2 linked regions of the Xenopus tropicalis genome follow. The protein of the gene in region 1 interacts with the protein of each later gene in a pairwise test. Links are inferred from orthologs where the notes say so. Each region holds a gene or a part of one and is shown on either strand. Other genes may lie near its edges.

Region 1 (3,927 bases):
AGGATGCTCATATTCTCTTTTTTATCATGTGTTTTTTTACAGTGCTGTTTTCTTACATTTCGCTATATTGTTTGTCTATTAATAGGAGGAGGGTGAAGTACAAAGAAAACTTAACGTGAATTCCTAAAGGCAGAGAAACACCAAACCATCGCTCCTGTTTTGAGCACCGATAACGGATCAGACCGCGATATAAACTGCATGATTTTAAGCGTATATTACAAAAACAGGTAATAAAACTTGTATAAGAATGGTGCGCCACCTGCTGGTCTCACGTACCATTGCGCTTCGGGCTATAACCAGGCGGCGCTTACAGTCCAGCCTCCATAATGCCTACCCTACCGATTCCAGCCACAGTTTAGCTAGTACCCACACACAAATACCTTTGCACAACTGACTGAGCAGTGCCTTTCAGCATCCAGTTCATAACGCCAAACACTCGTGTTAGTTATATTGTAAACCAGTGCTGTCCAACTTCTGTTGTACCGAGGGCCGGAATTTTTTCGACCTGCGTGGTGGAGGGCCGATAATGGAAGCCAGTTTTGACCACTCCCCTTTTTGAAACTGCACCCACTTGAAACCACACCCATGTTATCACATGACCATACCCATATTAATGGTTGTAGTACAGCAAAAACCTGCCATACTCTGCCTGCCTGTGTGCCATACTTGGCTGGTTTGTGCCATACTTGGCCTGTGTGTGCCATACTCTGCCTGTGTGTGCCATTCTCTGCCTTCCCTACCCTGCCTGTGTGTGCCATACTCTGCCTGTGTGTGCCATACTCTGCCTTCCCTACCCTGCCTGTGTGTGCCATACTCTGCCTTCCCTACCCTGCCTGAGTGTGCCATACTTTCACTGTGTTTGCCATTCTTGGCTGGTTTGTGCCATACTTGGCCTGTGTGTGCCATACTCTGCCTGTGTGTGCCATACTCTGCCTTCCCTACCCTGCCTGTGTGTGCCATACTCTGCCTTCCCTACCCTGCCTGTGTGTGCCATACTCTGCTTGCCCTATGATGCCTGTGTGTATGGCACACACAGGCAGCCTACAGTGACACAATGCTGGCACTGCTCCTACAGTCTGCACAATAACTATATATTAAAAAAACTTTTTAATTGCAGTACCACCTCAGTATATGTTCTTTTTGTAGTGTGCAGGGATTATTTGTGGGTTTCTACTGCTCCTGAGGTGTGAACAGGGGAACAATGTGGGTGATTACAGCCTGAGCCTGAGGTGTGAACACTGCAGGGGGGGAACAATGCAGAAACTAAAAGGTGTGAAAAACACAGGGGATTACATATTTAAACAATACAGCCTGATTACAGCCTGAATCTGAGGTGAGAACCATGCAGGGGGGGAAGTTAATCACAGTACTGATACCATTTAAAGCTTACACAAGAGTAAGCCATCAAAGCAGTCAGACAGGTGGGGGGCCACACAGAGGGGGGTCGCGGGCCGCATGCGGCCCGCGGGCCGCCAGTTGGACAGCACTGTTGTAAACTATCAGACATTTTGTTTGCAGTTATCGTTCTAAAGTAAAATGGAAGGTTTTGTCAGTTTTAGATAAGCGTTACACCAGCCGTGAATAACACAAAGCAAAAACACAAAATAAACATAGATTTTCCTACTGTCCCTAGCAGATGCCTCCACACAAAGAATCGAAATTATTAAACCTTTAATAGACAAAAACCCCAACGCCTCAATCTGCTCTATGCGCGCTTGCTCTTTGCGCAGCCAATCAGAATACTGCAAGCGTTACCTAGCGACTTGTACCAAACAATATGGCGACCCAGTGAGTGCAGCATGAGCAGCCCTTTATTTACTCTGGGAAGACCCCGTAAAACCAGAATAGCATTGGCCCAGCAGAGTTACAGCGGGGGGCAAAAACAGGCGCACGAAACACCTTTGCAGGCTTTGGCTCGCTGTGACGATGGGAGCAGGACCTCTGCGACTCTGGAACTAATAAGGGAACCTGACATACCCATGGCAGGGCAGTTGTCGAAACCTCAGATTAAATCGCCGAACCAGTTACCTGCGCTTGAATCCCCTGGGTAACTAACTGCAAGTATTTTCATCCGTTTCTGGACTACATCATCCAGTATCCCCTGGGAGCCAGCGGCCAGAGCTGGAGGCTGCAGTTCAGCAACCTTTGTAAAAGCTACTCTTCTTGAGCAAATTATCTATCTGTTATCTAACTGTTATTTCTGCTTATGTTTACAAAGTACCCCCCAGATATTACTTGAGAAAAAGAATGAGCATCTTTTAATATTTTTATTTTCTTCTTAGAAGACGAGCTGCACCATTCAAATCCATGGCATACTACACGGGTGAGTTATTTTTGTTCTACCCATTAATTGCACATATCAGTGATCAAAAAAAGGCCATATCTGGGCCAATATATTCCCATTTTTACAAACCTATTCAGTTTTATCTTCTTGTGGATATATTTAGAATAAATAATAAATAAGCTGTTTGGGGTTCTCAGAGTTAAAAATTAAACAGTAATTTAGTGGTTTGTATTTACTTTTATTTTCAATGCATCGCATTCAGTTTTTTTGTCTCTGTCCTTCCAAGTTTTAGTTGTATTATCCCCATCCCGCTGACCGTGACAGTGCCTTGCAATCAAGATTGCAAGTTCTTTATCCCAAGATTACAAAGTATTTAAAACAGCAGTTCCACAGCTTTAAAGTAATAAAAATATAATGCACTGTTGCCCTGCACTGGTAAAACTGGTGTGTTTGCTACAGTAACACTACTATAATTTATATAATAAGCTGCTGTGTAGCCACGGGGGCACAGGTTACATTGCAGATAACAGACAAGTTCTGTAGAGTATAATAGTGTTTTATCTGTTATCTGCTATGTGCCTGTGCCTTTTCTCCTTTGAATGGCTGCCCCCATGGCTACATAGCAGTTTATTTATATAAATTATAGTAGATTTTCTGAAGTAAACACACAACTTTTACTAGTGCAGGGCAGCAGCACATTATATTTTAGTTACTTTTATACACTTTCATTTTTTGGTGTTACTGTTCCTTTAACTCTTAACTCTCAGGAACATACAAACTAATTGGGGATTAGCCAGATATTGCTCACCTCAGGTGAGTGTATTAGAGGAAAGACCTAGCTAAATTAGTGGATCTAATAGTGTATGGCCAGCTTTAGTTTATTATTCAAGGGAATGCACTAATATCTGTTTGTTGATTGCAGAAGAGGAGATGATGCTACTTGAAGGTCTCCCATCAAACACCACAGGACCCACAAACAAAGGGAATTACTCCCATCTGGGGAAAGTTGTGCAGGGTTAGTACCAGTTTCATTTGGTCTAATGGACTTTTTGGTACTGATTGCCATAACACAATACTGTATCTTACTTAACTGTTGTCAAATTAAGGTTTACTGAAAGGTATAGAGTTGAACAGTGTAATGTGGTTGCAGGTTCGGCTCCCAGTGACTTTGACCTGCTAAATTCTACAATGAAGCGTTTAGGAGAGCTGGAAAGGAGGGTGCGGGCCCAGGAACAGGAGATACAATCAAAGGTCAGCACTGAGACCCTTTATCCAAAGAGCCATTTTGTCCTTTACTTTTGAGTATAGTCCCTTAAAGGAGACATATTATATAAAAGTTAAGAATGTACCAGTGAATTATAGAAGGATTGTGCTTAAAAAAGTTGTGTTTTAGACTGATTTATTGAGAAATTCCACCAAAACCCCACTTGTCCCGCCCATCTGTCTTACTTCCTGCTGGCTGAATTCTCTGGATGTGCAGGGGGGGCGGCGGTTCTCAGTACACTGCACTGTACCAATCAGCAGCTAGGCTGACCTGATAGGGAACTGAAGCCTGTCTTTGCTTGTGAGAGTGGCTCTCCCCCTCCTACTTTTCTTTGGCAGGGCTTGTTAGGACTCACCCACCCTTCATTTAAAACACAGAC
Region 2 (3,827 bases), on another chromosome or scaffold:
GGCAAAATTATGTTTTCTTCCCTTGAGTCAATGCCCTTTTTTATACAAGACAGCACTTTATTACACTGCCTGGAATTAGACAACTTGTTATCTACAAAAACCCCTAGATCCTTCTCCATTAAGGATACCCCCAACTTGATATGTAGCATGTAACAAATTGTGTGTATAAAACAGGGAAATTGGTCCATTACAGCAACACACCTTATAGTATTTTAATAACTCACATAGACCTAAACAGATATGGACCTACAACTTTTTAAAGCAGAAGGAAAGGCAAAGTCACTTGGGGGTGCCAAAATGCGCAGTAGAGTGAAAAAGCCAAGCTTTAACAGAGAATTCGGCTTCGCACTCTACTGCGCATGTGCCTGTCGTTTAGTCTTTGCAAAACGAAGGAGGAAGCGCTGCGCTACAGGTACCCTGGGCTGGTGCTGTTTTCTCCTAACAGGGACACCAGCCCTGGGGTACAAGGTAAGTGATTAAAGTCACTTGGGGGTGCCTAACATTTTGGCACCCCCAAGTGACTTAGCCTTTCCTTCTCCTTTAAAGACTTAACATTAATCTCTATCTCATGCTCATTATGCTTTTCTCTAGTGTTTGCACGTGTTCTGTTTTACATCACTGCTTTTTAAGATGCTTATCACTAAAGTGATGTTTAGAAGCTGTTCTTATAATTTACCCTGCATTATTGCCATATATATGGAGGATTAAGAAAGTAGATCTTTTCAAGTTTCATGGATCCTACTGATACTGTCCTCCTACATAAAATGGTAGAGGAACAGGACTGTTTGCAAGTTTGTACACAGGACCTACTTAATCTACCAACACGTCTAAATGTTAATAGCATTCTGTTTTCAGCTACTAAATTGCATACGCAGTGGGGGTGTTTTACATGCATTTCCTACTTCATTCTTTTTTAATCGTTTTTATGCACTTCTGGTAAAATTAAAGTGTTGTCTTAGAGGCCCATTTATCAACATTATAATTTTAGTGGTTTGAGTTCTTTGAAACCACAAATTCCTTTCCACGAAAACCATGTTTATTTGCAATGTCAAAAATGAAACCCCATAGGAGAAGTCACGTGAAGCACTTGGTCTCGGAATGTTTTCCTGGTAAGACTAAGGCACACCAACTGCCTATGTCTCTTGTCTTGAATGGCAACTACTGTATAAGCGGTCACAGGTGGTTGCCATTTAAATCAATTGACAGGGCGCAATTACATTTTGTTGTAAGACAAAAATAAATACTAGTATTCTATATTCTATTCAATATTTTATTTCTTTAACCCTGTTTAAATTAATTTGTGTCAGAAACAGGTGTGTAATGTACACATTTTTTAGCTCTAAGATTCCTTAAAGTATTTTAACACTTCTTGAGTTACTTCCTGAGAGCGCAATGATTTTGGTTTGCAGTGATATTTCTTTATTGTATGCTTTATTCATGTAGCAATAGTAGTTGTGAACATGTGACATCATCTTAAAAATTACACTCATGACTTATTACATCTACTCCATAAAGACTGCAGTGAATCCAGAGATTGCTATAAACAATAGACCAACATGGTATATAAAGTCTCTGCATGTGAACTATAATTGATATTTGGTCACTGCTCACATTTCAGCATTCATCTGTTAAGGGATCTCCACAACTATAGCTTAGGGGTATATTTATCATGCTGTGTAAAAAGTAGAGTGAAGCATTACTGGTGATGTTGCCCAGGGCAACCAATCAGCAATTAGATTGTAACAGTTAGAAAATCAAAGCAAAGCATCTGATTGGCTGCTATGAGCAACATCACCGGTGATCTTTAACTCCACTTTTTACACAGCATGATAAATATACCCCCAAATAACAAGTGGTCTACAGTTTCATTATCTGGTAAAACTTGAAGTACAGCAAGCCCATTATTTTATAAGGCACTCGGGCTAACAGTAAGGGATAACTGTAGGACTGAAATAGGGTTGGGGGTAGGGATTTGCTTTGGTTTTTGCAAATATATTTCCCCAACAAAAGTTGCAATGAATACTTGACTTACATGTTGACGGAAGCCTTTTTTAGTGGGGCTATGCATTAGCTTTGACATATATATTTATATATTCGGATAAGAAATCAGGCAACTTTTATTTATTAAAACATGTGTTACAATAATTATGTCACTTCTGTTTTTGAGTGTTGAACTATATTATCGCTAGTATTTTTATAGAAAGTGCCCAATAGTTGAGCACACACTTAAGAGGACAAACATTCTGTATTAGAGCACAAAAATACATTTAGACTGAAAGCTGAAAGATCATTCTTCTGTACAGGTATTTTGGTTGTAACATGTCCCCTTAAAGGAGCTTCTCCTGCAGAATCCTGCATTGAAATCCATTTTTCAAAAACCGATTTTTTTTTTTTATATTTAATTTTGAGAAATCACATGGGGCTAGCCATATTCTTCATTTCCCAGGGTGCCACAGCCATGTGACCTGTGCTTCGATAAACTTCAGTCACACTAATCTGCAAGTTGGAATGATTTTATGGTCTACTTTTTATTTCTAAATGACACTATTTACATTTAAATTAGGTAACCTATATGTAATAAATCATTACAATGATTAGGTATCAGTTTTGTTTTTCTTCTGTTTGATTCTCCTTGTAGATCGTAAGCTCTTTTGGGCAGGGCCCTCTTCACCTCTTGTATCGGTTATTGATTGCTTTATATGTTACTCTGTATGTCCAATGTATGAAACCCACTTATTGTACAGCACTGCGGAATATGTTGGCGCTTTATAAATAAATGTTAATAATAATAATTGTAGCATGTCTCCTTACGTTTGTTCATCTTACAGCTTATGTGCCTTATTGGAGAGTCCTTTGATGAATATAGCGACGATGTATGTGGAGCAGTTGTAAATGTTAGAGCAAAAGGGGATAAAATAGCAATCTGGACTACTGAATTTGAAAACAGGGACGCTGTTACACATATAGGGTAAGTCAGAATTATTTCCTTAAAATTATGTGTGCGCTGGTAATCTAATTTAGACCTGCTAGGAACAAACATGGAATAGCTCCAATATGCCTGCTTACTTAAGGGAATAACAAAAACCATAGATAACAATAGGCAGAAAGTTTGGTTATCACAAGCCATTTTCATTGCACTCAGGTTGAACAAGACATGTATATTGCCCTTTTATTCTTGGCAACCTGCCCCGGGGCAGAGATCACGAATTTAGTTTTGATCAACTTGAGGTTCTTTCTAAAATGCTTTCTTAATGAGAATATATGTTGGTGTATGTTTTGTGTCTATATGTTCAAAGAGGCACGCTCACATGGCCTAGCAAAATCGGCATGCTTGGGTCAAGTGTTTGATCCCCAGCATGGAGTCCTCACTTACTGTGCAACAGAACTTTAAGATGGTTAAACAAACAAAAGCATGTAAATGGACTTACCTTATTAAATATGTGCTTTTATTCACTAAGCATAGCACTGAAGATTTTATATACTAAAGGACCAATTTATCAAAGGTTCTTAGACATTTTTAAAGAACTGCTTTTCACCCTCAGATTTAGATTTTGATATTTTTCCTTCTGGCATTTTTATTTTGAGAAAATTTTGAAGATTAAACTGCAAAGATCAGTCCAGTGGGCTCATTAGTATTTGTTTAAATGCCACTTTACTAGAACATAAAGCAATATCTGAAAAATGGAGAGTGAAAAAGACATTAAAATGCTGCCATTTTGTAGCTCACCTCTGACTGCCTGGACATCTTGTAGTTTACAGCCTTAACTTTATTTCTCAAATAAGTAATCTCACAATGTTTTTAATCCTAGAAGCCCATCAAACACATT

The links.
Region 2: the proteins of ubxn11 (region 1) and eif4e interact in binary tests that used the Homo sapiens proteins (3 or more experiments, as listed by UniProt). The link is inferred for Xenopus tropicalis from reciprocal best matches to the Homo sapiens genes UBXN11 and EIF4E.

Annotation. Positions count from the first base shown.
Region 1 is NC_030678.2:77,358,108-77,362,034, reverse strand, and holds the start of ubxn11 (UBX domain-containing protein 11), read left to right. Parts: upstream 1-1,746; 5' UTR 1,747-1,799; coding exon 1,800-2,047; intron 2,048-2,282; coding exon 2,283-2,323; intron 2,324-3,206; coding exon 3,207-3,299; intron 3,300-3,434; coding exon 3,435-3,535; intron 3,536-3,927. UniProt on the Homo sapiens protein: May be involved in the reorganization of actin cytoskeleton mediated by RND1, RND2 and RND3. Promotes RHOA activation mediated by GNA12 and GNA13.
Region 2 is NC_030677.2:74,905,677-74,909,503, forward strand, and holds part of eif4e (eukaryotic translation initiation factor 4E), read left to right. Parts: intron 1-696; exon of another isoform or gene 697-827; intron 828-2,828; coding exon 2,829-2,968; intron 2,969-3,827. UniProt on the Homo sapiens protein: Acts in the cytoplasm to initiate and regulate protein synthesis and is required in the nucleus for export of a subset of mRNAs from the nucleus to the cytoplasm which promotes processes such as RNA capping, processing and splicing.